Linked DNA regions of Drosophila melanogaster. The protein of the gene in region 1 interacts with the protein of each later gene in a pairwise test. Each region holds a gene or a part of one and is shown in the gene's direction. Other genes may lie near its edges.

Region 1 (6,847 bases):
TGGGGGGTTCCCTGAAATGGCCGTTTGGAGTTATATTCTTTTTTTCCAAATCTTAGGATGATACCTCATCTGAATTCCAAGAAGTTTCTTCCCGCGTATCAAACATGAATTGCTTTCCGTGCTGCTTCACATCTCTGTTTAAAACCGAGCTCACCCTGCAAACTATACGTTAACTAAAGGGAGTTACAAAATAAAACCCAGAGTACCTGCAGCTGTATTTTACTTTTGTCAAAATATTCATAATTCAATAAAAATAAGAAATAAACAAATCGGAGACCGCGAGGTTAAAGGCATTAGAGATGGGCAACAATCAGAAATCCATAGAATTTTTTTTTGTACGGATTTTTAACACCCGATTTAAGAAATTGCTTTAAAAAATATATTTTCCCTAACTTTCTAAAATATGCATGATTCTTATTAGATTTTTGAAATAAATACGTCAGATAAAGATATATCGATATTATAGATGCTATACCAAGTATTGATTTTGCAGCCCTCGTCGAAAAAGCAAAACAGCTGGCAGTTTAAACATTTTCATTTTTTTTGTTGACTTATCTTAGAAGTTGAGATGATAAAAGCCATTCTCGTTTTTAACAATCACGGGAAGCCGCGGCTATCGAAGTTCTATCAGTATTTCGTAAGTACTGCGACATATAATCCATATAATCTAGTTCATAATAAATTGTCACTATCATTTGTAGGATGAAAGCCTGCAGCAACAAATAATCAAAGAGACTTTCCAATTGGTGTCCAAGCGGGACGATAATGTTTGCAACTTTCTGGAGGGCGGAAGGTGAGCAATATTGTTCCCGCAAATTCCTGGAATATCTTAAAGCACCTCTTTCCTCCAACAGTTTGATTGGCGGATCGGATTACAAACTCATCTACAGACACTATGCCACGCTGTACTTCGTTTTCTGCGTGGACTCCTCGGAGAGCGAACTGGGAATCCTGGACCTGATTCAGGTGTTCGTGGAAACCCTCGACAAGTGCTTCGAAAACGTGTGTGAGCTGGACCTGATATTCCACGCCGATGCCGTCCACCACATCCTCTCAGGTTGGGAAAGCTACTTTGGCAATCCATTCAGATTCAGCTATCATGAATTCGTTTCAGAACTGGTAATGGGCGGAATGGTCCTGCAGACAAATATGAACGACATAATGGCCAGGATCGAGGAGCAGAACAAGATCGTCAAGCAGGAAGCGGGCATCTCGGCTGCACCTGCCCGAGCTGTGAGCGCCGTGAAGAGTATGAACATTCCGCAACAGATTAAAGACATCAAGCTACCTGATCTGCCGCAGGCCATTAAGGACTTTAAGTTCTGACAAATGTGCGTCTGATATAACTCTCTCGTCTAATTGTAATCTGTTGAATCTAGTGCTTTTTCGCAGTCCTTCATGAATTTCCAACAGCTGTCGACTGTTCCGTAATATTAGGTCCCACGTACTCTATATAACTCCCCTACCATAATAAAAATGCAAATGAATTACCAGTAGCGAGAACGAGCCTTACGATTTTGATAGCTTAACAATGCGAAGTTCAACCACTTCCGTTCTATATCGAATGGGGTTTAAAATGTACATACAAAGTGTCTTGCGATGACGTATTCGCATGATCTGTGTGCTGCATATATTAAAGATTTATACCTAAAACGGTGTCCGCTGTATTAAACATGTTCATAATTCTACAATCAACTGTTTGTAAGATCATCTTCTTCGCCGACTTCCAGCATAACTTGCATTATTTTCCGCTTCAGCCTCTTGCGCGAAACTTCAGAGTTCAGGTTACGGAATTCACTGGCGATTAGTTCGCCAAATGCGTCCCATTGATCACGACCACTTAATGGTAAGTGGAAGGGAGAGGGAGCAGCTGGAGCTTCGACAGTTCGATTTGGATCAACGAATTTGGAAGACGGCGCAGGTTCAGGAGGCATCGGAGGAATGGGTTCGCTGACCTTCGGAGGCTGACAGATTTCTGCATCGTTCTCTATGATCATGGATTCCAGACTTTCTATCGAGGATTGGCTCTGCTTTTCCACATCCTGATCCGGGTAGCACATGTCCAGCTTCGATACCAATTTCTACCAAAAACCAGGATAGATTGGTTAACTTATGGGCTAAAGATTTCGATTTAAGGAGCCCACCTTGCCCGGAGCACCTTGTTGATAGCCTGGTCGTGGTTCTATAACAGATCGTAGGAACATCAACGTCTTGAAGTGCTCCCATCGACAAGCCTTCTCCGAATCTCGATCTCCTCCAGACTCCTCGAGCCTCCTCTCCAACTTCTTGAGCTCTGCATTGAATTGATTGCGCAGGTTGTGCACCTTCTTGCCATAGTCGTGTTTCGTTATTTCAAGCGAAGCGCAGATGGATTCGATGGCTTTAGCCCTGCAATCCTTGTTTTTATATAGCTCGGAATAGTGGTTCCACAAGCAGTCCGACGAGCGGTAAAGTTCGATTAGCTTGGCGATCTTCTCCCGCGTCCAGATCGTCTGCTTCCTCCTCTGTCTTTTGGTCAGTTGCGTTTCGCCCAGCTCCTCGGATTTATTTGGCATCTCAGCAAACTAACAACAATATGTCAATATGCATCGAATCTTATTGCAGTGCACATTTGGGATGGGCGAGTCTGAACTATCGAAAGTAAACAGCAACGCAGTATTTTTTTTTAGTACTTTTTGAAAAAAAAAAGAAACGATGAATAGTTTTATGATCTATCAAACAAAATGTAATTCCATTGCGCTTTATATTGATTTCTTAATGTTAACTACACATTTAGTTTTAGATATTTAACTGTGCTAAACTAATAGCAATCAATAAATACAACATTGAAATCCGATATCTCCGTACACGCATTCAGTCGCATCTCTTGGTCCTATCGACTAGTCGATAATTCTCATCGCAATTAAATGGATATACTTCAGTATATAAATAAAATAAAGTAAAATAAGCAAATCCGCTGGAATATGCAAGCGCGCTAGCCGAAAACAATTGGAAAATGTGTGCGGGACGCCAGGACCGACTATAGACCGTTTTCCGAGCTGGCTATGGTGACAAGGGACCACAGAACTGATAAATCCTAGGCCGACGCCCACTGAACACAGTTTCCTGTACAGGAGTGTAGTTTTGGATAAACGCAATTTTGGTAATTAGGGAGCGGTAGGCGCGCAGCTGGCAGTAAAGTACCTCCACTCTCGATTCCAGACATACCGGATAGGGCGCTAGCGAGCCCCAAACGTAAGCACAATGTCACAAGTAATACCAAACACGCCCACACCCCAAATGCTGACGACATCAACGCCCATAGAACCCATGAAACCACCACCAGCGTTTCCCACGATGAGCGGCGCAAACATACACGAGCAGGCGTCCGATATGATACTGCGGGCCTCGACGATTTTCGAGGACGTCAAGCACGACGAGGCGAATGTGGAGAATGTGCCCCATCACGGAGTTGAGACTGAGCCTGAGGACGACTCGCACTACGGCGGGAACGGCAACTCTAAGATCCGCATAATGCCCAGTGTGAAGCTAATGGCCACGACGCTCGCCTCCGATCCCAAGCGCAAGTTCGTCTGCCCGTATGACAACTGTACAAAGAGCTACGGCAAGAGCTCCCACCTGCGGTCCCACCTCACCTGGCACACGGGCATCAAGCCCTTCGTCTGCAGCGAGCCCAAGTGCGGCAAGGGATTCACGCGCTCCGATGAGCTCAACCGGCACCTCCGGACGCACACCGGCGAGAAGCCCTTCGAGTGCATCCAGTGCACCAAGAAGTTTTCCCGCAGCGACCACCTCACCAAGCACCTAGCTACCCACGACCGCCAGCTAAAGGGCAGCACCCCGAAGCGAACAGTACCGAGCAGCAGTGGTGGAGTCCGGCTCAAGCCCCCGAAGAAGCAGATTCATTCGGAGTCGGACTCGGGCTTCCACTTCATGGCCGCCATGGTTGGTTGCGGGGAGCCGAGCATGAAGCACCACCACCAGCAGCAGCAGCATAACCAGCACCAGCAGCCCGTGAGCATTATCGACATCCACCACAAGCCGATAAAGATTAAGCTGGAACGGCCGGAGCACAGCGACAAGTACCAGATCGTATCTCCTGAACACCAGATGGATAACCATGGCCACAACCAGAGCCAGTTGCCCGATTTCCTTAACCAGGCGAAGCCCGAGGTAAAATACGAACCGACCGAAGAAATTGTAAATACCCTCTCTCAGCTACCGCCGGCGGACGGACCCGGCACGTATGGGATGCCCCAGTTCGTTCAGGATCGGCCTTTCTACTGCCGGCAGTGTGAGAAGCGGTTCAAGCGGCAGGACGACCTCAACCGACACATACGAACGCACACCGGGGAGAAGCCCTACGCCTGTCAGCAGTGCTGTCGCCGGTTTGTGCGGAGCGACCACTTGAAAAAGCATCAGCAGACGCATTTGAAGATACGATAGTTTCATAGTTACTCCTTACTCCTTAAGTCGCTAGCCATTGGCATCCGCATCCAATCGATATTGGCTACCACACGGGCGTGTGTCGGGTGACGCACACAGTACAATAAAATTAAATAAATTCGCAATCTAACTATATTCCTATGCAAGATCAGCGCCGGCTCTCAAATCTCAATTTGTATGTATGTATGTAAATAAGTCGTATGCAATTTAATTTTAGCTCTAACTGTTTGTGTTTGCCGGAACGTGAAGACATACATCTGTATTTCTGAAACTCTTGCTGTTTCTTATTTTCTGGCTACTAAGCTCCCCGTATCTATTAATATAATTTATTTTAGTAAAACTGTTATTTATATTTATGGGCTAATTGATGGGGAACTGATAGTTCATCAGGATCAGGACTCGATCCAGTTTGAAATTTGGAATATGATTAATAATGGCCTATAAGAATGAATAATAGATATATGTATAATTTCTGATAAATCAAAGATTCATCGACTATCGGTTCGGTTGATAGAATCGACTTATCGATAACAGCATTATCATCACCATTGGCGTTTGATTCAGAGTTTCAAGCAATGTTTTGCACTGTTTAAAATAATTACACACAAGCGATGTGCGACTTTGACGCTTTGTGGGCGGATGTACTGAGAATCTTTCCGGTTTTGGGTGGAGCGGTAGGTTTATTCCTTCGGTTCAGTAATAGGGATTGGCGCTAGCACTCAGAAACTCTTACAGAACGCTGTATCCAATGATCCGGTTGAGGAGAATGTATTCCAAAATGTTCGCCAGCACCTGATGGTGTTGGGCAGCATAGACACCTTCGCGGCGGTTGTGGACCTGGAAATCCAGTCGACTATTCGGAATGTCCTGGTGCCCAAGTTCTGGAAGCACATCCACGACGGCTTGGTCTCGTCTAAATTGCAGGGCTGGATTAACGACCAAGCTCTGGCCATAGAAGCACTGCCCGATAAGAACGGACTGTTCACCCAGTTCATCGACGCCATCAATGAGCTGCATGACAGCTTTCAGAGCCTGATGCAGGTGAAGCCCAGGCTGATCCAGCTAGTTGGAGCTGAGACAAAGCCCACCGCAAAGACGGTGAAGCTCATGCAGGAGGAAGGCATTAAGAACTGCTTAAGGGACTGCTTGCTGGCTCAACTGCCACCCAATTTCAGTGTGGTCGTTGGGGCCTTCTACTGGGTGCACTTTAAGCTCTTCACCAAGGCCTCAAATCTCGCATTGACCACAGTTGGTATGTATCCGATACATACTCCTGTGGTTCCCATGCTCACTTGCTTTCCCCTTCAGACTCTGATGTTTTCGATGAGCTCCTCTGCGTTGGCTGCAACTTCGAAGCAGAGCAATGCTGCTGCCAAAGGCTGACGGATATGGTTAACAAGACAAACATGAAGCTCTTCGAGATGAACCTCATTGACCGTCTAACTGGGAGTGCTTTAACCGCTCTCATCAAGCTTAAAATCAAGGAGCACATCAGCGATACATGCATGGGAATCTTCGACAGAAGTCATCTTAAGCAACTGGAAACTGTAAGTTGAATGGGAATACCTTCTGTTGTCATAAATAAACTACTTAAGTAACTCATTTATTACCTACCTTTGCAGTGGCTATCGGATGTCATAATGTCCTGGCTCACAAACATATTCACGGAATGGAAGTCTAAGGATAGCATAAGCGATATCGAAGTTCCCGAGTCTGTAAAATCCTTCAAAGTCAAACTGACTTACTTTATGTACGAAACGTTTGCCCAAAGCGTTATTGGTCAGTTCTTCAGCATTATAATTGGTATGTGCCCGTAGATTCAGCCAAGAGTCCCCCAACTACATGTATTTATTTGTAAACAGACTATCCCGATTCCATTCCGGCTATAGATGACTTAAAGATTTGCATGGAGAAAATAGATATGCGAGTCTACCTCACTGAATCCCTTAGGAACTCGCTAGAGGCAAGGATTCTGCATCCTGGAGTCAACACCATGGACATATTAACGGGTTACGTGGCAGCCATCAAAGCTATTCGCCATCTGGATAGTACCGGAGTCATCTTAGAGATGGTAACTGCTCCAATCAAAGATTACCTGCGGAAACGAAACGACACAGTGCGACGCGTAGTCACTGGGTTGACTGAAGAGGGGCCCACGGACTTATCCGAGGAACTCGCCAAGGGAGAAACAATTAAGGAATGCAAGGACTCGGGTACCGATGAGTTCAGCAACTGGGAAAATTGGCAACCCGATCCGTTTGGTATAGATGCCAGCATTATGCAGTACAACAGCTCGCGGAAGATGAGATCGGCCGACATTATATCGATGGTTGTAGACATATACGGCAGTAAGGAGTTGTTTATGACAGAGTATCGCAATCTAATGGCGGACAGACTGCTG
Region 2 (8,019 bases), on another chromosome or scaffold:
TAGAGGTTTGCACAAGGCTTCCGCACAGAATCTGAGCACACAGGCAGGGATTCCATCAGGACCTGGCGAATAGACCGGTTTAACACGCTGAAGATCGTTAAGCAGTGAGCTTTCGTTTATAATGGGGCAAAATATTAGATTCGACTTAGATACCGCATAAGAGTATGGCTGTTCGGAATGAGGTAAAGTTGAATATGTTGTTTGAAAAAACTTGGCGAATAGGGCTATTGCCTGATCCGATGTAACCGTAGTGTTTTCTAAAAATAACGAGGAAGGGTAAGAACTTGTTTTTCGCTTAGTGCTAACGAAATTATAAAACTGTTTCGGATCCTGTGCAAACTGGAACTTACAACGGTTTAAATAATTATTGTAGCACTGATCATTAAGCCCGGTAAAGCTTAACCTAGCGCTTAAATATTTACAGAGGGTGGACTGAGAACCGGTATTTTTAAATTTTATATAGAGTCTGGACTTTACAATTCTTAGGTGTGTCAACTCTTTATTAAACCAAGGAGGTTTAAGGAGTTTAAGTCGTGCGTATTGGGTTGGCACGACAAAAGGTCATAACTTTACACTTGGAGCCATTTAAGTCTAACACGTGTGTTGTTGCCCTCGATGATTTTCTTCTATTCCTCAACTTCACTGAATTATTTCATCCTCACTTCGTTTCCACGAAACTCTACCAAAACAACAACTGGCGCCATGCTCATTTGAATACATACACAAAGGATTTTTACTCAATAACGGAACGATTTCCATGAATTTCATTACTCTTAACTCATTCTTAACATAACGGTTCAAAAACATAATTTCGGTTACATTCAAATACTGCGTTAGATCTACTCAATCTCCGACATACATATGTATATTAAGCCGATATAAAACACATGCGGTTTGAACACAGAATAAAAGCGGGAAAGATATATATCTTAATGTAAACACATAATTAATTTCTAATTTCTTTTACATCACAAGCAGCTAAACAGATATACATATATTTCATTTAAGTTCTATTACCACCAAATTATTTTTAAATAAGAGAGAACGCTTAAGCAAATTTGTTGGACATTGAGATACCGTTTACACAGCCAGAAGGAATGCAAAATATAAACAATGAAAACAAAAAGTTTTGGGTGTTGAATTGGTCGTGGCGAAATAGTTCAAGCATATCAATACAAATTATCAAGAAAAACAACTTAATTTTTTAAGATAAAGAACTTTTCAAAAGTATACGAACAGAAGGATTGGTAGCCGAAGACAAGAATATAAGCACGTTATAATGCCCGAAACGCTTCCTTCCGTTCCTTCTGACATAATTTTTTCCAAAACCATACACATAATCGTTCGAAATCACTACCATAAAACTTGTCTTTTCATTCCTCAAAAATAGCTAATAAATAAGCTTACTATCTCAAGACATTCCCTTAAATGCTGTTGTCATAAAAAACATTTGACCACGTTGGTTGCCTTGCCAACACTAATAAATTTTTGAATTTGGGCGCCGAGAGTATTTAAATCTTTTGGAAGCTGAAATTTTCCAACACCAAACAGGACTCGCAGAACTTTGTTCATCCAGGATCTTAAGCTCAAAACCAAAACGTATGCGAATTAAAATTGCTGCTATTTAATTATTTAAAAGAATAGTTTTTATTTTTTATTAATTAATATTTATTCGGCGACAGACTTCCTCACTTATACTATTACAAGACACTTTATTACTAGCTTATCTTTGATTTGAAGCTGTTCACGATCTCGTCCCGACTCAGACTGATCTTCTAAATCTTAATCCTAATCCACTCAACCTCGGCCAGAAGCTTTTCTTTAGGATTCTCTTAAGCTTTTTAATATGTTTAGGATAAAAGCTTTACACTGAAATTATTTCCCAGCATTGTGAAATTCAAATTTGCTGACTGACGCAGTTTGACTGAAGCGCAATAAGTTGACCATGGCTTGGTCTCCAAGTGGAAGTTGTGTTTACTTTAAGTTTGGTTATATATCGGGTGGCTAAGTGTTGGCGTCAAAAACAAGGGCAAAGGCAACGCTGCTGAGATTGGAGTTAGAAATTTGTTTAGCTTTTGGTAGAGTGCTATATTTATGGGTTGGATAACTTGCGTCACTACGTGGGGCATAAAAAATCTGTTGTCCCTTAACTCACTCCCCTACATCGAGTGATAAAGATAAATAGGAATTCCTAAAAGATTTAAGTATACAAAAATAAGTACGTTTTATATGGAATCTTTAAGAATTAGTTAAAAGTCGAGTGCCTGTAAAATTTCGTTATCTTATGGAATTTGTTATCAACCATGGCCCATGATCTTACCAAAGACACTAGAATATTCTAGTGTCTTTGCTCTTACAGTGTTACCTTAGCTTGTAGAATATTAAAAGTTAAGTCTCAATAAATTTAAAACGTGTTTTTAACGCAGCTCAGCACAAGATATTTCTTTTCGAAAGCTAGTAACAGCCAGATTCTACTGATCGTAGCGTTTGCCTTTTGAGTAAGAGACAACATGTAAGACAACATGTGATGTAATCCAAATTACGAAGTACAAAACGTATATAAAAATATTTATGTTTTCTGAGTTATCGAATTAGTGTAAAAGGGCTCTAAGAAATCCTACCAGTTCTTTGTGAATTTTGGTATATTTTCGAGGGAAATGATTATTTTCATGAGTCGTGAAACGGTCACACTTTTAAAAAGTAAAACTGCTGCTCGTCTGCTCTATCTCTGAGCGTTGTTCTGTCTCCATCTCTCTTTAGCAATCGTAAAAAATGATGGACTGAAAGTTAAAGTGCTGGAATTTGTTAGAAAAAGATAACACTATTTAAATATATATCTTGTATTATTCCAAACAATATATCGTTAAAATACGTTATCAATTCACGAATACAATTTTACACCACTCAAATCTTAACAATTTTATTGTGGAGCAGGCAGTGCGCAATTTATGGTGTGGTCCGGTTGCGTAAAAGGTAATTTTAATAATGAAAAAAATAACACATGTAGTGTAATATTGTATGATAAAAAAACAAATGTGCTAGACTCCAGTTTAGATACTAGAGTCTGTTAATGTAAAGAGCTGCTGCATTAAACGTTCGTCTGTGTATGTTTTGTGTCGCGTATGTACATATTTTTTGTCTCACCGTCGCCATTTTTAATCAGTCGTTTTCGCTGGGTTCCTATGGCACTATATTCATCTCTTTTTCTCTTTTATAGAATTAGCGTCGCGTGATGCAGTGTTGAAAAGCGCGACAGAGCTGCAGTAAATAAAAGGCCAACGTATGATAAAAGTTAATTTTTGAGCATACTCGAATTTTGGGGACCATGGAAGACCTTACCAAAAACATTATCTTCACAAATGCCATTAATGGGCAACCGGCCACAATTCAATACCAGACGGCGGATGGCACCATTCTTAAACAGCCCAAAATAGAGGGCCAAAAAACGGAGCAGCAGCCTACCTTCTATTACACGACAAATGTAAGTAGTTTACTTACTATATGTTATTGGTGCTGACTTTTCATATTGTCTTCACATAGGGCAATGGCGGTACCGTCAATCTCGCACAGCTGGCCACCACAGACGACAATAAGACGTGTTATATAGCCCAGCCCGTGGGCGGATACAATTACGCCCTGGTCAACGGAATGCCTCTCAATCAGGGTGCAGCTCTTGGCATCGCCACGGTAGACGCACAAGGCCGCATCCAGATTGTCAATCAAAATAAGCCAATTGCAGCTGTATGTAAAAGGAAGACTCGTTAAGCAAAGCCTAAAGATTTTCTTCTTTGCAGAACACCATATCCAACATAAGCTTTAAGTGTGACGTATGTTCAGATATGTTCCCTCATTTGGCACTTCTTAATGCTCATAAGCGGATGCATACAGACGGGGAACAGCAGCAACAACAGCAACATAACGCCCAAGCGGGCGGCGATTCTATTGCCGTGGTCAGCGCGCAGGGGCTTGTGCAGGCACAGAACATTATTGGAAATGGTCAGATGGGCCAGATACAGATTGTGTCTTCTGACACGCTGGAGCCGGTTCAGCAATCTGTAATGCAGCAGCAGCAACATGAGTCAAAGGCAAGCAAGTGCATAAATTGTGGAAGCTCTATGCTGCAGCAGTCCAAACGCAAAGGTCCAAAGCAGGTGCGCTGCGAGTCCTGCATGCAGGCTGAACAAACAGCGCAACAACAACAGCAGCTCTTCGTCGCCCAAGACGGTAGTTGTGAAAGATTACATTCTAAATGGACCATAACTAACTTCATCGCATCTTTTGCAGGTCAAATGGCGCATCCCGTGCAAATCATATCAACGACTCCTCAGGCCCAAGCACAACTTCAGCAAATTGTGGCTGCACAGACTGGCGGTACAACGCCAAAGCGAGAGGCGAGCAGTGGGTCTGGCCATCATCCTGTGAAAAAACGAAATTCCCAGCAGATGACCAAATGCCAGAAATGCAATGGCTCCGGCGTGGTGCTAGTGGGGCAGCACTCCCATGCTTCACACAGCGGGGTGGGCGGATCGGTAAAGCAATCAGTTACTGTTAAAACTGAGTGAGTATAACATGAAATTGCAACCTTATCCTACGCTAACAAAACCAAGGTGTTTGTCCTGCAGAAATCCGTCCAAACCCTTCAGTTGTAATATATGTGGTGGTCTGTTTTCACGTTACTCAAGTCTGTGGTCCCATAAAAAGCTGCACAGCGGTGAAAAAAACTACAAGTGCAGCATCTGTGGATTGGCCTTTGCTAAAGCCGTATATTTGAAAAACCACGCGCGCATTCATACAGGCGAGAAACCCTATAAGTAATACCAATCTTCTACTTGAAATTATACTCTTTATACTAATTACCGTTATCTTTACATAGATGCCAAACCTGCGGCATGCAGTTTTCACAGTCACCACACCTCAAGAACCATGAACGCACGCACAGTGGCGAGCGGCCCTATGTGTGCGGTGTTTGCGACAAAGGATTTGCGCGCCACGCTACTCTTTGGAATCATAGGCGCATTCACACGGGCGAAAAGCCATACAAGTGTGAAATTTGTGGATCGGCCTTTTCTCAGGCGGCGCACCTTAAGAACCACGCAAAGGTGCACTCCGGAGAAAAACCCTACAAGTGCGAGATTTGCTCTGCAGCATTCGCTGATCGTTTTGCACTCAAGCGTCACCGCGGCATACACCAAAAGTACGGCCAAACTGCTCCTCGCCAGACCAGCAGCGATGGGATGATAGTGCATAAGCAGGAGATTCCTGACATGGAGGATGAGGCCCAACAGGAAGTGATTATCGGTGGGTTATAGATAGTTTAAATGCAGAGGTGACAGGCAGCTTAATGAAGTCACAGACACTGGAGTCCACCCTGCTTAGCTTCAGTTTATCGAGCGTTACTATGATCATCTGCCTCCACCTATGCTAGCCCCAGAACCATCTCTAAGGGCGCATATATCACCACAATGATATTAAAGAATAGAAAACGATGTTCCATCGTTAACACTTCAGCTGCATATGTCCTTTCTCCACTTTCATGTGGGATCTTCAAAAATGGGCGAAACCCAAAAACGCTTTTTACGATAAGCATACAAATGAACCTAATTTATTTGATAGCTTGTATAATATACTTAAACATCTTTAAACATTAAACGCATATATGTATAGGCATCGTATTTATAAGTGTTATAGGCTATTCTCTTATACAAATTGTAGGTGTAAAATATGGATTTATTAGGTGACGATACGAGCAAATCCGATACGTATGAATATGCACAGGTAATAAACACACACATATAAGTTGAAAGTTGTAAGCTTAAATATATTTTAATTAAATCTATCTAATATAAGTATGTATTAAATAATGCATAAAATCAAATAAATATTTGAATAAAATACAATTTTTTACTAACCTACTCCATTTGCAAGTGCCTTAACGAAGAATAGAGGGATCCCAGAAATAGGCACATTTTCCACCGTTTTCGACGTCTTATGCGTTTTTTTTTTATTAATGTAAGCACCATTTCACTTTAAATATAATTTTTTTAGTGTTTTGCCACGTTCATCTTATTCTTACGTGAAGCTATAAGGTCAGTAAATTTTAATGTTGGCAATAATATAATTAATAAATACACAAAACTTTAAATATTCATAGACGTAAAAGAGTAAAATAAAGTTAAAATTTATCGAAAATTAGATGATGTGAATTACTGCTGTCTTTTCAAAAAAATTAGAGCTGTTGATTTGTAAAATGGACGCACTCTTTTAAACTTCTTATATTTATATTTTTGCGTATTATCTGTTAAAAATAAAATATTTTTACATATTTAAAGTAAAGTTGTGAAGTGGCAACGAATTTTTTACAATAATCAAAACCAAGTGTTTAAGAATTAGGATTCATGGCTTGTATAATAAAGCTTTAAATTACTAGAATTCGCCATCAGTTAAATCAAGATAAATACGTATACGTATACATTTGCGAACATGGACTTTGCTTAGGGTCCATTTTTGAATTTGCGGTCATTACAAACTTATATTCATATGTATATAGGATTATTCAAGAATGAATACATTTTAGTTACACGGGATTGTAGTTTTGTTTCTTTTAATGTCAACTGGTTTGCATGCACTATGCAATCATGATTATATAGGAAGATCTGTGTCTGTGGTTGGTCCACTTTTTATTTAATATTTCTGCTACAGCTTAAAAACTAAATCGTTACAAAGTTACGGAAAGGATGCGTACCACAATCCATATTTATCCGGCCAATTAAATTTGACCATGGTCTTTGCCGCTTGGTAGAGTCCTTTTATTCGTGCCAATTATTTTTCCAATTTGATATCAAATTATTTTAAAGCTGTGGATAAACAATATAAGCAACATCTAAAATAGATGTTATATATATGTTCAAAATATAACAAAGCATTTCAAACTCATTTTTAAGCTAAATTGAAAGTCACACAAAACAATATATATACTTTTCACTGTTAAATTTCCGTATTTTCTTTTTTAAATTTTTTTTCTTGAAAACATAAATATTTTAGATTAACTCGTTCCTCAAGCTTAAATTTTATGGTGCAGGCACGCCATTAAACAAGTAAGTAATTATACGATTTTATAGTAACATTTTCATTTAAATGACTATGCTATTGGCTTATATTTGTCATTTTGGTGAACCGATCTTGGCTATTTAGTATTTAGTTTTTAGTTAAACAACAATTTCATTTTTCGACTGCCTACCATGCCAACCGTCCTTTGCAAGTGTGTTACAGCTTCCCACTCCACTCACCCACTAAATTCAGAAGAATTAAAAGTCCTGGCCTAAGCCCTATCCTGCTGTTATGCAATATTGGACAATAATCAAGTTAACCAAACCATTCGAGTGCTACTTAATGTATTGCAGTATGTAACCGAAATCTCCTGTCCAGAATGGCGGTTTTTATGCGATTAAAAACAATAACAAAAAAGCAATTTCAACAGTTACCTACATAAATGATGACTTCTCGGCATAAATAATTTGGGCTTCATAACATAAATACTTTTATTACAAATAATTTAGGTAATTTTCTTAAGCCTGTCTGTCGACTTAATGCTTTGGGTAACACTTTTTTTTGTCAAACTCGCATAAGCGTGCTTTCGTGAAAACCCATTCATTAGCAAAATGGTTGCCAAATAAAAATGAAAAACCGGTTAAAAAGGCAGACATACTATTGCGTCTATTCGTTCAAGGTTGTAGGATAGTTTGTTGCTATTTTAAAGTAACCTTTTACATATTTTGAAAAAAATGCAGTCCTGAAGTAGTTATTTTAGGGAATATTGGTTTTAGACGAGGTTCTTAGGATTCATTTGTTCGTAACTTTTCTTTAAAAGATCTGGATAATTTCAGCAAAATGTATTTGGTTCACAGTCCTCTTAATCAAATACTTATTATTCAAACAAACTTTCAATTCCATTTGTAAATTACTTTTCGAGCTAGAACTTGCTCTTTTGATGTTTTTACTAACTATAAAAGAAATTCATTT
Region 3 (8,216 bases), on another chromosome or scaffold:
CGTACGGTGTACATATTAAAAGAAGTTAGTATAAAAAGGATTTTTTCATGGACTGTCGGTATTTTTAGTACTTCCACACTGTTGTTAAAATTGTAAACAAATCCCGCCGCACGTGTGATATTTAGTTAAAATCAAAATAATTGTATTTCTAAAGTTTCAAAATATGTCTGGTAAATACGATCTGCTCAGTGAGCAGGGCCTCCGTCTGGACGGACGACGTCCTCATGAATTGCGCCGCATCAAGTGCAAACTGGGAGTCTTCGAGCAGCCCGATGGAAGTGCCTACATGGAGCAGGGAAACACCAAGGTTCTGGCTGCCGTCTATGGACCCCACCAGGCCAAGGGCAATCAGACAGAGTCCGTCATCAACTGTCAGTACAGTCAGGCAACCTTCTCCACGGCGGAGCGCAAAAATAGGCCGCGCGGCGATCGCAAATCTCTGGAGTTCAAGTTGTACCTGCAGCAGGCGCTAAGTGCTGCCATTAAATCAGAACTATATCCCCGCTCCCAGATAGACATATACGTGGAGGTGCTCCAAGACGACGGCGCCAACTATGCGGTGGCTCTTAATGCCGCCACACTGGCGCTAATTGATGCGGGAATCTGCCTCAATGAGTTCATTGTCGCCTGCACCGCCTCACTGAGCAAATCGAACATCCCGCTCACAGACATCTCTCAGTTCGAGGAGGTATCCGGCGGACCGAAACTAACCGTGGCTGCCTTGCCTACCGCCGAGAAAATCGCCTTTCTTGAGATGAGTGAGCGGTTCCACATCGATCACTTGGAAACCGTCATCGAGACTGCTATGGCGGGTTGCCGCGAAATAAGGGACATTCTGGAGGCAGCAGTCAAGGAGCACCTTCTGCACATGGGCAGTGCCTCTGACTTTGCGAAAGTTGGTTGAAATAAAGTAATCTTTTCTATTCCAATCTTGTCGTTTTTTACAATTGAAGGGCAACAATTATAATAAAAAGGAACCAACATTTACAAATTAAATAGTGTCTTTAACATTGTATTCAGATGGCTGCCCTTGCTCTCTTTTAATATAATTTCTGTTGCAAAAGCACAATTATCCTCTAAAACACAGGCGTATAAATGTAGTAACAAACGAAAGTAGCTCTAGTTTTTCTCAATAGCTTCTTTTGGTGGCTCCCACCTATCCAAGAGCTCCTTTAGTCGTTCCCTTCGATGTTCCAGTTGCAACTTCTCTATTAGTCCACTCAGTTGGTCGCCGCCCTTGAGGAAACCATTGAGGTTGTGCAGCGTACCGCCTTGAATTCGATGATCCGTTATGCGGTCCTGGACGAAATTGTAGGTACGGATCTTCTCATTGCGATTGAGACTACCCTGTTGCGCCTTCTTGGTGGCCATTTTGCTAGCCTCAACGCTCTCCAACTGCTGTTGCACAAGTCGCGACCGTAGACGCTTCATCGCTAGCTCCCGGTTTTTGAGCTGGGAGCGTTCCGATTGCGCCTCCACCGCCAGACCCGTGGGCAGATGAACAATTCTTACAGCCGAGTCGGTGGTGTTAACATGCTGTCCACCAGCTCCACTCGCTCGCTTCGTCTCGATCTTCAGATCCTTCTCAGCGATGTGCACTTGGATGTCGGCGGGTCGGGGAATCACTGTAATTGAGGCGGTGCTGGTGTGCATGCGTCCAGACTTTTCAGTGGCCGGCACCCGCTGTACGCGGTGAACTCCAGCCTCATAGCGCAGCCAGCGGAAGGCATCCTCGCCGCTCACCATCAGACTAGCGTGCCGCAGACCCCCGATGTCGGTGCCCTCGCTGGCAAACTCCTCCCACTCCCAGCCCATGTGCTCGAAATAGCCGGTGTACATTTCGTACAATTCTTGGGCGAATAGCATTGCCTCCTGGCCACCGGCGCCGGCATTCAGGCCGAAGATCAGAGCCGGATACTCCTCATCGTCAGAGAGCGTAAGCAGCTCCTGCAGTAAGGCCTGATCCTGCTTGCCCAGTAGATCCACATAGACTTCGTTCTCCTCGCGCATTAGCTCACGCATATCCTCGTCCTTCTCCGCTTCCATGTCCTTGGCGCTGGTGATGTGCCGTTCTAGTACGCGTCGCTGCTCCAGGGCACTGACCACGCCCTCCAGCTGGGCGAGACGGGCGTAGGATTTGCTGTTTCCGGCGGCGTTGACTCGCACGGCGTAGTATTCCTGGCGTAGAGACTCCAAATAAGCCTGCAGCTTCTCGTTCTGAATGCTCAGCGGATCCGTGCTGGCCCAACGGCGTGCCAGGTAACCCAGTCGAAGGTTTAGTAGTTTGCGCGATATCATTTTGTCAGCTTTTCATTGAAAATTCATTGAAAATAAAATACAAATAATTAAATAACAACAAGAGGTGGACCAAAGATGATAGCAGCGATTACTATCAATAAGTTCTGGATAAAAACTGAACTTATCGATATTCAGGCATAGTGCAACTTCTATCAACATCGATAGTCGCCCAAAAACATCGACTCCAGTTCCAGCTACATACTAAAGTGCATTGAAAAGTCAAAGAAATATGCCAGTTTGTAAATATTAAAAACACTATTTCATCTTAATGGGGAAATAGCTGTCTTAGTAGCGGACTTCGGTTGTTTTAATTTGTGATATGCTAACCTTTTGCCTGCAGTCGTTTGTATTGCGTGTGTGGGTGTGTGTGCTCGCCTTTTGATTGGAGAAAAATAAACGGACTGCGACAACAACAACAGCAGCAGCAGCAACAACAAAGGGTGAAGTGAGCGCAGAGTGCAGCAATTAAGTTTAATTAAGCCAAACAATTGAATGCGAAGAGTCTGAGCTGTGCTGTCGCCCCCGAAAAGTGCATTTATTAAGGCGATATCGGATTCAAGATCGCCGAAAAGTAAAAACCCAACAGTTGACGAAATGCCACCGTTGAAAACATACCAGATACACGAATACAATGGCAATACCAGTCCGAATGCGAATGCCAATCAGAACGCCAATCAGAATCCCACCGGCGGCGGCGGCGACGGTGACTTCTTTGGCCAAAATCTGGGATCTGGAGCCACAGCGGCCAGCCATCGCACAAACCTGCCCTCCTACTGCAACGCCCAATATCCGTTCAAGGTGCTTTCCAATCTCAACCAACTGCGCGAGCAGTCCCGTTTCTGCGACGTGGAGATCATCGCCGGAATGGCAACATTGAGTGCCCACCGGGCTGTCCTGAGTGCAGCCAGTGCCTACTTCGAGGCCATGTTTCGACCCGAGCTCGGGTTAAATGAGGTCAAGCAAAAATCCGTTGTGCTGCACACAATCGACGGCGATATCCTGCACATCCTGCTTGACTTCATCTATACGGGTCGCTGCGAAATCACCCAGGTGAGTCCATACACCTAGTCGCTTGGTCTCCAAATTCTAATCCCTTCTTTGATCTTACAGTCCAATGTCCAGGAGCTCCTGGCCGCCGCCGACATGCTGCAGCTAAACGAGGTGGTCGACGGGTGCTGCGAGTTCCTCTGCCGCGAGCTGCACGCCTCCAATGCCCTGGGCATTTTACGCTTCGCCGAGGCCCACAACTGCGAGTCGTTGGCCAAGAGTGCACTGAACTTTGTCCACGCGAATTTCCCAGCGGTGAGTTGGATGCACTTGAAAGGCTTGATTTGTAGGTGTACCGCCCAAACGAAAAGTGGGTCATGGAAATAGTCAAGCAATGTTCTATATTTATTGGAAACGAAAATATTCAACGAGATAAACGATAAAAAATATCAAAATAATAATATTTAAAGTTATTTTCATTTCTGCCTTGAACCTAATAATTTATCGTTTAAATTTGAGCATTTGGCAAAAATATATATTTCTATTTTAACTGATTGGTACTTTCCTTTCTTCGTTCAGGTAACGCTTGAAGATGAGTTCCTAGAAACGCCACAAACTCTACTCTCGCAGCTACTGAACTCGGAGCTGCTGCGTGTAGACTCCGAGTCGCAGGTGTTCCAGGCGGCGCTTCGTTGGATTAAGCACGACGTGACGCAGCGCCGCTGCTACGTCTTCGATGTCCTGTCCCACGTGCGCATGGCGCTTGTTCCGGTAAAGGTGATCGACAAGGCTCTGAAGGACGACTGTCGCGACATGTCCGTGAAGATAGCCCTGCGCTCCATTTGCCGGGACATTGCGTCCAAGCGCGGACAATTGGTGCCGCTGCGGGTATGTCCGCGTCAGCTGGCCAAGAAGAACATATATATCATTGGTGGATCTCATCGGGATACGCCGCGAACCTGGAACTCGGCCGACTGCATCTTCGAGACGGTGGCCAAATTCGATATATTCCGGCGCGAGTGGACGGAAACGGCGCCTATGGAGGTGGGACGCATCCTGCCAGGTGTATCAGCATTGAATGGCAAGATCTATGTGGTAGGAGGAGAGCGCGGTTCACAGATTCTGGCCAATGGCGAGGTCTATGATCCACAGAACGATGTTTGGCAACCGATTGCCCCGATGATTGTGCCGCGCTGCGAGTTCGGTCTTTGCACCATGGGCGGAAATCTGTTTGCCGTAGGCGGTTGGATAGGCGACGACATCGGCGGCTCCATGGAGTGCTATGATCCGGAGCAGGATCTCTGGAAATTAATGGGCAGCATGCCGCAGCCTAGATTCAGCATGGGTGTGGTCAGTTTCGAGGGTCTCATTTACATTGTCGGTGGCTGCACAACAACAACCCGTCATCTGCCGGATTTAATCAGGTATTTAACAAAAAATATTTATATTCGTAGTTATATATTTTTATAAAAATCCATTGCAGCTTCAATCCAGTGACAAAAGAGTGGAACGAGCTGGCCCGCATGCAAACAGCTCGCTGTCAAATGGGTGTGGCCGTTCTGGATCGCTACTTGTATGTGGTTGGAGGCAGTAGCATCAGTCAGGACATTCTCAGCTCCGTGGAACGCTACAGCTTCGACGAGGATAAGTGGACTACAGTGTGTGCATTAAACGTGCCCAGAGCCATTCCTGCCGTGGTCGCCGCCGATGGCTTGCTCTACGTAGCTGGCGGTGATCAGGTAACAAGTATATTTCAATTTATTTGATTCATAATTTAATCATTGTTTTTGTATGCTTCTCTGCCAGCCCTGCGAGGTAAACTTCTACCGAGCCCAAGTGACTATCAATGCTGTCGAATGTTATGATCCGCTTTCGGACACCTGGAAGAATTGTCCCGATCTACCAGTTAGCCGTTCGGAGGCAGGAGCAGTGGTTGTTTAGGACCTCGGACTGGTTCGGAAGGGTCAAACACAAAATCTGTCGTCGTTTTAAGAAAACCACACACGAAAAACACTCTCTAACTGTAGCTCTTTGACATTGTATACGTTACACACATCACAAGTCTCTTCCCTTTTTTCGATTCAATTGAACGTAGTGGTCACTCGCCAAAGATATGTAAGCGCGTTGTTATGGGTATGGTTGATGTTGTATGTGGGAGCATAGCGCAGCTATTCACCAGTTAGTACACATGCTAATAGTTAGCCACGATGGAAGCAGCCAGCCTCAGATTGTTCCGTAGTTCGAGTTGTCCTTTATAAAAGCGAAACCAAACACCGAAAAATATAAGAAACCAAAGCATTCACTTTGAAAACGACAAATTTAACGTATCGTAATTGCTGAACATTATTTGAATCAATTATTTGTTTGTTTTCAAATGTATTCTCTAATTTTATTGTTGAATTCTGACCAGAGTGTTAGGAACAATGTTTGAGGCGCCCTTGAAAAGAGCGAAATCTCCACTGAACTTTGTATTAGTATAGTCATTAGGGACGTTTCCTTATCTGTATGTTAATTCGACTAATTCCATTCCGACAGTATTCTACTTCTAATGCTCGAATATTTATACGAATGCAATCTTTTAAAACGTATGTATGTATCAGTGATTATTTTTTTAGAATGTCTGTTATAATTAATTCTGGTTTTTATCCAAATCTAAAGTATCGTAACAAGTTTTTCATTACTTTTAATAAATAGCATACTGATAAGAAAAAGTCCCTAACTGTACCAAAGCAAATTAATACAAACAATCAAAGATGCGAACTGTATTCATAATAGGTGTATTATCGAAATAAATATACGAATTATAAACTACTAATAAAAATGTCTTCTTTCATCGTGGGACCACGACCACCTTTAACATCCTAACCTTTTTATCATCTTACAAAAAGAAAAGATGTTATTTTCGAGAAATACAGAAATGCCGGAAATACGCAAGCCAAACACAATTGTTTAACTGTTTGGGGTAAAGATTTTTTAAATCTTGAAATCTAAGTTTTTAACTTGTTTATGATAAAACTCAGTCTAGTTTTAGCACAAGTCATTTCAAATTGGTTTTATATTTATTATTAAGTTGGGCCGAAATCCCGGCGGTACTGCAATACCGGGCCAACCCGCGACAGAGGTGGAGCAAGCTCCTAGCACTCCGTCTGATTCCAAAAATCAGTTTAACATTTGTTGTCCTCCAATGGAGGAACTATCAGATGTTAAGCTGATAAGAACAGATACTACACTTTGATCTTAGCCATAAGGCCGAGAAGCGATAACTTGAAACGGAAAACGAACAGGCTCTCCATGACCAAACGGCCAGAAGCAGTTGGGAATTCTAAGTGTGCGCACACGAAAAATGACTCAACGTAGCTGTTGCTCAGTAAGAATTGCCTACTTTTAGGGGTAGTTGATGTTTTTGTCTGCGAAGCAAATATAAACAAATCTTTTTATTTTGTAACGGACAATCTTAAAAACATTTCGCCCAAATATAAAAGTTGCTTTAAGACTTATACATAAATCTTAAACATATGTGTACATATAACCATTCGAACTGACAAGAGGTACGTATTATTGACAAACATATGTTGTTTGACAAATATAAATATTTTATGCGGCATAAAAGCAATATAATATGGAAACGTGTCAAATTTGTTTAAATTATTTATCTTATTTTTTTCAGTAGCTGTCTATAAGTTAATGTAAAAATGGTTATGTTGGATATATCAGATGTGTAACAATGAATAAAGCAAATACATATAATTTAATGCGAATAATTCAAAAGCAGTAACATTTAATTTAAATATAATATTCGGTAAAACAACAAAATACTAATGTTAATTTACATAAAAGAAAAAGGAAAGCAGAAAATCTACTTGACATGCGCCGAAATACTGTTAACACTCTGGTAAGTGGGGCAGTACCAAAATAGAAAAACAGTTGATGAATATACGCCGAGGTCTCTGGAAGAACATTTTCGAAACGAGCTTAAGGCGTGGCGCGATAGTAAATTTATATTGTTTTTCTAAATCTGGTAAGCCAACAAAGTGCAGCATTTTCCCACGGCCAGTGTCAGACAGCCGTACACGCAATTTTTCAATGTTTAATGCCATACTGTTAAAGAGAAAACGGGAAAAGTGGCCTTGAAGTGGCAGTTCCCTTGGGGCAGGTAATGGGAACTTCTTGTCAGCCTACATACATATATCATCGAAGAGAAAGGCAGTTTCAAATATTTATTTACATTTAAATGAGAATAAACTAATGAAATACCTTTTCTTTTTACTTTACAGCATGGCTTTCAGGATTATAATGCTAGGCGAACAACGATTTAATGACGGACACTGGACATGAGCGAAAATTAAGCAAAAACAATCAAATGTGCATCAAACAATAACCCAGACTAACTGGGATGTGCTAGACCTTCCGTTCCTTAGAAAAATCTCAATGGCCATCAAGCTTAGCTTCGATCCATGTAGTATTTCCTTAAAGCACCTGTCGCTATTCCTATTTAAGATATACTGCTTGGCACTCATATTCCGAAGTGCCAGTGCCGATTGGCTATTGGACTGTGGAAACTGTCACTGCAAATGGAACTCTGGCAAGAAGACGGCCGACTGTCGCAATTTGAGTCTGAGTGGAGTCCCAGAGTACCTCAGTCCGGAGGTTCAAGTGCTGGATTTGTCACACAATCATATATTCTACCTGGAGGAGAACGCATTCCTCACGACCCACTTGCAAAATCTTCAAAAGTTACTCATCCGAAATGGCACCCTGAAGTACCTGAATCAGCGAAGTTTCACCCAACTGCAGATCCTAATAGAGCTCGACTTGTCCAATAATCTACTTGTCGACCTGCTACCCAATGTGTTCGACTGTCTTTCGAAAGTGCGGGCGATATTCCTGAATGGCAACCTGTTGCAAGCACTTCGCCATGGAGTCTTTCGTAA
Region 4 (6,688 bases), about 16 Mb from region 1:
GTAGGTTTAAAAATAAAACGTGACAGAATCTAATTATCACTTCCATTATGTAACACTTTTATAGTCACTCCACTGCAAACACTGTTCGATGAAGTGGAGGCCGAGGAGGAGGAGGAAAGCGAATCCGAGTTGGACGATGCTCGGAAGATAATAATGGTGGGTCACGACTATCAGGCTGAGATCCCAGAGGGGCTGTCGCAATATGGCGATATATTGCCATATGAGAACGAGGATCAGTTGATCTGGGAGCCCAGCCAAGTCAGCGAGCGCGAGGTGGAGGAATATCTGGCCAAGATACAGGAAACCCGATCGATAGTTCCGCCGGATGACGGGTCAGAGACTACGGCGGGCGAGGAAGGCGCAGCTACAGGTGCTACTATCGAACCGCCGGCTCCCATTACAGCTCCAGCCACGCCTCCGAGGGCTCCGCTTGCGACAAGTGGCGCTGGCGATCAGGAGCTGGTGGTAAAGGATAATGAGCAGGCGCTCCATCTGCTTGTCCAGTGCGGTTACGACTTCAAAGAAGCCCTACGACGCAAGCGCATGAACGTCCTGCCTCTCACTGATACCATGAGCAGCTGGTCCGAGGACGAGTGCCTAAAGTTCGAGGAGGGCATTCAGCGGTTTGGCAAGGACTTCTATCAGATACGTCAAAACCAGGTAAAGGAGCGTCCATTGCCTGCGGACCGCCCTAGCAAGTAATCTATGGGCTCGTTGGGCTCTTTCAGGTGCGCACTAGAACCATGCGCGAGCTGGTCCATTTCTACTATCTGTGGAAGAAGAGTGAGCGCCGGGATCAGAGCTTTGCTTTAAACGACACCATCGATCACATGGATGTTTTCATCAACGAGGCGGGCGGTGGCAACGGAAGTGGTAATGGAAATGGTGCCGGGATCGTATCGGGCACCGCTAACAGTAATGGTAGCTGCTCACCGCATAGCAGCAATGGTCACAGCAATGGGGATTTGTCTGCCCTGGAGAAGGATACCATCGCCAGTCCTCGAAAACCCGCCTCTAAGAGCTATTCTATTATGACCGGGAGTCAGGCGGTAGGTAATCCTTCCGGGGGGAACCGAAAGCGATGCTCATCCGCATCTCTGCCCCTGGAGGACGAGGACAACAACGTCGAGGAAGAACCCAGCCTGTCCACAGTGTAAACGACATCTCTATCACAATCACCATCATCATTATCATAACCGAGCGCAGGCGCTTTCGATTCGGTTGGGCCAGGCGATGTATTTGCAGGGCGCTTCATTACCATTACCACTCACTATAAATATGCATACTGTACGTGTAGTATATACCATATGTCTAAACATATATATTCCAGATTCTTAAATCGACATCTCTCATAACCCGTAAAGAATTTCTCTATTGTTAAGTGTGCGATTCGTCTATTTGTTACATGTGCGTGTGGATTCCGGAACCAAGTACTTATCGCTTATATATACAATATATTTTCGCTCAATCCTTGAGTTTCGTTGAATGTCAATAAATGTAATATGTATATCTGTAAAGTCAATTCTATTGTTTTGTCGATATTTGACCAAATGTTTTAAAACCTCCAATAATTTAATGAATTTCAATTCTCAATTTACGAAAGTAATGTATGATCAGAAAAGATAAATATATATGTACATCGAAAGCTTTGTAGACTCACAGGTAAGATTCGCTACAAATCAGATACTAATATTACATAAAAGTACATCTTAGATATCTTAGATGAGCATGATTTATTTTATTTGGTTCAAAACAAAGTATGCATCATATTATTAATTTATTCGGCCTAGTATTTTCCCCTTTAAAAGCCTTTGTTTACATATAGAAGAAACAATATTTAAACGAAAATTAACCAAATTTTATCAAATATGCATTAGTTTAATCGCTACTTAAAAGACAAGCTGACGGATTTCAAATAACCATCTTAACGAAAGATCAATCGTACTCCGTATTCCCTAAAAGTTAACCGGATCGGAAACAAAGAACCGGTCCGTATAAATATACATACATATCTCGTATACATAGATACTTAGGTATGTCTGTATCTTTTCCCCAGTTTTCTTTGCAAGGCGTTCTTGAAAATGGCCAATTACGGTGTTGGATTCCCATTTATTGGCCGCATGTCTGTCCACGTACATTGTGCATACGAATGTGTGTGTGTGTTTTTCGCACTGTGGGTAGAAAGACGAGTATAAATTGCGGCGAGGATCAAATGTCAGGCTGAAACCCAACCGCAAAGCTACAGAAGATCTGATAAATAACCCCGGTCGCCACTTGTCATGTCTGCTTCACTTGCATTTTCGCAGTCCCAAGAAGAGGAGACTCAACCCGAAACGTGCAAGCATACACGTATAAACATTAATATGTACGTGTGTACACATATACAGACAACGGATACAGTCTTCGGTTCCAGGCTCACGATCGTTCCAGCTGGAGCTTTTGTTCCCACACACCCTCGTCTGTATATAGAAATGTACATATGTATGTGCGCTGTGGCGGTGGCTCCACTGGCGTGGCGTGAATTTTGTACGTTCCCTCCAGCTCCATTTCCAAGCGACCCAGCCAGCCGACCGTAGTAAAATCCAGTTTTGATAAAAATAAACAAAGTACACTACACCGCTCTCTATACGCTACACTATGAATTTCCAGTCTCTGCGGCTGGGTCACCTGGAAAAGGATCTCCTTTCGCGTAACGGGAGGGTGGGCCATAGAGCTCTATGTAAAGACTTTTACCGCTAAAGCGCGTGACATGTCCGCTCAAGTCGCTGTACGGGTGGAATTCTATTGCAATAGCCGTTTTCGGTGCAGAGCATATTAGATTCGTTACGGTGGGCTCACAATGGCGAAGTTAACAACCGTAAAAAGCGCAAATACGACACAGAGTTGCGGCCAGCGCAGCGGAAGCTTAACATCCGGATAATATTGCCAGGCAGCTCAGTTGTTGTTCTGCCGCCTCGCCTGCGCCTGCTTCTTCTTCTTCTGCTTCTCCTGCTTCTTCTTCCTCTTCTTGGGTCTTCTGTTCGTGGCAAAGCCTGTTGCTCAAGCCTCTCTCCTCCTTCCCGATCCCGCAGCTCCGCCTTCGCCTTTGCCTGTGCCGTCGCAACCAGCTCCGTCCGCTCTTTCCACAATTCTCTCTCGGCACCGCCAAAAGGCACGTAAACTGGTTGTTGCTGGCTGGGCCGTACACTTCGTGGTGCCCGTATTTTTCGTATTTTCAGTGCTGCCTGAACGCTTGAGCTGCGCGAGTCGCTTGCCGGGAAACTCGGAGTTGGAATCGGAACTGGATCTGGCTAACTAGCTATCGGGCTATCGGAAATTGGCCACTCGGATCTGGACATGGAGATGGCCTACAATGCGTCATCGTCGGCGGCCTCCGTCGGCTCTGCTTCTGCCGCCGCCTCTGCCACCGCCTCCTTCGCCTTCACCAACACCGCCAAGCTGCCCATCGAAACGGTGAAGCGCCTGATTGCCGCCGTCTCACGACGTCCGATGTTGTGGCTGCGCAACAATGCCAATGGCCAGAAGCGCAGCGACATCACGCCTGTTTGGTTCGAGGTGGGTCAGGATGTGAATTTGCCAGGTGAGTGTATGGCTGACTATTTCTCCTCTGCGCTTTCCGCTAAAATGACTCCCCCCTTTCACAGCCGACATCTGCCGAATTAAGTGGGGCCACCTGAGGGACAACTTTCGCAAGGTGTACATCCGCAATAACCTGTCCAATGAGACGCCCTCGTCGTGGCGCTTCTACAACGATATGCGGTTCATGGAGCCCGCCGTTCACGAGAATATCATGCGTCAGACGCGAAGCAGCAGCAAGAAGCACCCACCCGGACACTGGACGGAGAACAATAATGTGCTGGGGCCGGACAAGTATGACTCAATGCCCATTGTTGCTACGGAGCCCATATGCGAGCTCAGCCACAGCTATGACTCGGAGCTACACCAGCCCAGCTTCTCGGACATCAGTTCGTTCTTCGAGGATCGCGACTGCCAGCCGCCGGAGAATAAGAGATTTAAGTCGGAGCCCAGTCAGAGGGAGGAGGACGAGGAGGATGACGATGACTTCGACGAAGATGCCGCCTCGGAGAACTTGGAAGAGGAACGCGGCAATCGTGCCGATGCTGCCAGTTCCGGTGTATTCACCATAGAAGTGCTCGATGACGACGACGAAATGGAGCAGGCGGTGACCAAGACCAAGGCGAATAACACTAGCCACGGCGGATCCAGCCTGAAGAGCGAGCAGGAGGCCAAGGTGTTCTCCAATTCGCAGTCACCCACCGCCGATCTGCCATTCAAGTATATCAGCACGGATGTGGCCACGAATACGGATCCCTCTGGTGGAGATCTCCAGGACGAGGCGGATCGCATGTTCCTGCTCAGTCTGATGCCCTTCCTGCAAAGATTGGACAGCCGCCGGCGTCTGCGCGTGCGCCAGAAATTACAGAACGTGCTCATCGAGGAACTGGAGTTTGGCTGAGGACGCGTATATCCGGGGGAATGTGGGGAGATTTACTTTATAAGCCTAGCTTACAGTATTATAAGAACGCGACTGACTAACTCTGTGAATCTGCCTACATACGTAGCATGTAATCAGTATTCCGGCCTGCTTTCCTTCATACCAACACACTTCAATACATACCATATTGCATTACAATACATATTTACACTTCAAATAGACGATCACGCCAGCATGATTACTTGTTTCTTCCTCAGGATAACCGCTCACTTTTACCTGTATCTGCGCTCCGGTGCACCTGCGCCTTTTACCTGCGCACCCCGCCCGCAGTTCGAGTTCCCAATTATCCACGGTCACTGTTGCAATTGCATTTTTCCAGCCACGGGCGGCTCAAAATTTCTGTCAGTGCAAAACAAGTTCTTTAAGGGTGGTGCACGCGGCAACAACAACAACCACAAGGTGATTCCCTCCGCATTTTCGCGCCACATGCGCCGTTAATGCTAATGTACCGCGCTCTCGCTCGCTCTCTCCGCTCACCAATCACAATGCGCTCCGGATGGGCGAAACTTGGTCGAGCCTAGGCAACTTGATAATTCCCTTTTGGTGTGTTGTGTTTTTTGCCTGAAAACATCTCCCCATGTTTTAAAAATGATTCAAAGCTTTCGTTGAATAATGGCGGGCTTAACAGTTCTGCGATTTGCTTAATAGGGTCCAATTGGATGGAGTTTAACTTTCAAAAACTTTCGCTAAACAGAAAGCTCATCTTCTAATGAGTAGAGTCTGAAATTTAGACGCAGAATCCATAAAAATTCTTAGTGGTTCATGCATTGTTGTTAAAATGTTGAATGCTGTTTTGTCTTTTCGGAACTCATTTGGAATTCCAAAATTTAAGGTGAAACACTATTTAATTTTAATTTAAAATTCCTTTTAATTTCAGCAGTATGATTCCCCTCTGATTTGTAATCACAAAAATGTTCATGGCCATTCATTGACCATCATTTATACTTATTATAATCATTTATACTATTTATAAAAATTGAAATATAACAGTTAGCAGAATCAGTGTGACCAGCCATTGTGAGGATCAAAAACTAAACCTCCAATTCGGCTATGCCCGCGATACCCTGAACGAACAGGGGCGCGAATGACAAAAACAACAAAAACCAGCAGCAGCAGAAGGGCAGCGTCGTAACGAGAGAGCCGGGCAGAGAAGAAGAGGAAGAGGCAACGGCAGCGGCGAGCGCATGAACGTGAGTTTTGCAGTTTGATGGTTAAATGCGTGCGTGAAGGTTGGAGTGAAGATTTTGAGCCGAATTCGAATCCTAGTCCCCGCCGCAATAAGTGGGTCAGAATTGGAGCCGTTCGATTGGGCCAAACAAAAAGCTGGGCGCCACCGCAGACTGCAGCTAAAACACGCCGCCAAAGTAATTGGAAGAAGAAGCAGGCGCACAATAGGAATAATTGTTCATGGATTTTTTCGATTTCTCGTTCGCTTGCAGAAGGAAAAGTGCACGAGGGTGGAACCAAGGGTAAATAAGATTCGCCCGAAAACGCTTGGAAAATGTAAACAATCTGTAAGCACAGCGACGATAAGCGATTTTCAAAGAGTTTGCCAGCTTTTTACATCGATCAAACACTCGCATAATAAACGAATAAGAACTGACGATTAAATCGAATTGAAGTGGAGTGACGACTATGGGATACCCTAGGACCGCGTAGAGTGAATGAATTTGACAAGTGAGTTAAAAAAGCCATGGGGCACGAATTAAGTTAGCATAATATATGTGCGTAAATCAATTCAGTGCTATTAACTAAGTTTGTTGGGGGAAATGTTAGCTGTGTAATCCGCATAAAAGGAAATCTTGTTTAGGACCCATACGCCCCTGATACCCTGGACCGAAGCGGACGCCATTATCCTATTAGCCGTTATGCCCCATCAAGCGATTCGATTGTTTGAGGTTAGTAACAGTACATCTGACCAAACTTCTGCATCGACCCTCTGTATTAAACGCAGTTCTTTGCGGCATAAGTGAAAATAAATAGAAGATAAAATGTGCATGTGAGCCTCCCGTGCATGAGTGTGCCTGTGTCCGTGCGCCCTGCGAAGGAGAAACAGAGAGCGGAAGAAATAGGAAAAGAAGAGAGCGGGCGAAACGAAAGAGAGAGCGACGGTTTTGGAGCGCGCGCGCACATCAAAATTAAAAAACAAACTGTGAGATACATTTGGGTTTA

Evidence for each region.
Region 2: the proteins of CG3065 (region 1) and Clamp interact in a two-hybrid assay, tested with the Drosophila melanogaster proteins (one large-scale study listed by BioGRID).
Region 3: the proteins of CG3065 (region 1) and CG9426 interact in a two-hybrid assay, tested with the Drosophila melanogaster proteins (one large-scale study listed by BioGRID).
Region 4: the proteins of CG3065 (region 1) and Coop interact in a two-hybrid assay, tested with the Drosophila melanogaster proteins (one large-scale study listed by BioGRID).

Annotation. Positions count from the first base shown.
Region 1 is NT_033778.4:23,967,452-23,974,298, forward strand, and holds CG3065 (uncharacterized protein), read left to right. Parts: upstream 1-2,853; 5' UTR 2,854-3,243; coding exon 3,244-4,446; 3' UTR 4,447-4,782; downstream 4,783-6,847. Other genes in the region: CG34213 (uncharacterized protein), read right to left, coding at 1-11, 65-155, 207-241; or (orange), read left to right, coding at 569-637, 702-793, 855-1,057, 1,115-1,326; CG10904 (uncharacterized protein), read right to left, coding at 1,692-2,081, 2,145-2,555; mr (morula), read left to right, coding at 5,058-5,120, 5,182-5,698, 5,755-5,993, 6,069-6,249, 6,309-6,847.
Region 2 is NT_033779.5:22,163,842-22,171,860, reverse strand, and holds Clamp (Chromatin-linked adaptor for MSL proteins), read left to right. Parts: upstream 1-2,717; 5' UTR 2,718-2,973; intron 2,974-3,217; 5' UTR 3,218-3,325; coding exon 3,326-3,481; intron 3,482-3,540; coding exon 3,541-3,741; intron 3,742-3,794; coding exon 3,795-4,224; intron 4,225-4,284; coding exon 4,285-4,558; intron 4,559-4,607; coding exon 4,608-4,811; intron 4,812-4,873; coding exon 4,874-5,309; 3' UTR 5,310-6,141; downstream 6,142-8,019. UniProt on the Drosophila melanogaster protein: Transcription factor involved in X-chromosome dosage compensation in males, the process by which transcription of the single X chromosome in the male is elevated. Binds to the DNA sequence (GA)n.
Region 3 is NT_033779.5:13,214,169-13,222,384, reverse strand, and holds CG9426 (uncharacterized protein), read left to right. Parts: upstream 1-2,461; 5' UTR 2,462-2,892; coding exon 2,893-3,348; intron 3,349-3,408; coding exon 3,409-3,600; intron 3,601-3,864; coding exon 3,865-4,709; intron 4,710-4,768; coding exon 4,769-5,024; intron 5,025-5,091; coding exon 5,092-5,226; 3' UTR 5,227-6,095; downstream 6,096-8,216. Other genes in the region: Ski6, read left to right, coding at 164-904; mRF1 (mitochondrial translation release factor 1), read right to left, coding at 1,120-2,298; kek4 (kekkon 4), read left to right, coding at 7,714-8,216.
Region 4 is NT_033778.4:7,488,838-7,495,525, reverse strand, and holds Coop (corepressor of pangolin), read left to right. Parts: upstream 1-2,936; 5' UTR 2,937-3,336; coding exon 3,337-3,580; intron 3,581-3,644; coding exon 3,645-4,477; 3' UTR 4,478-4,690; downstream 4,691-6,688. Other genes in the region: CG1620 (uncharacterized protein), read left to right, coding at 65-660, 729-1,157.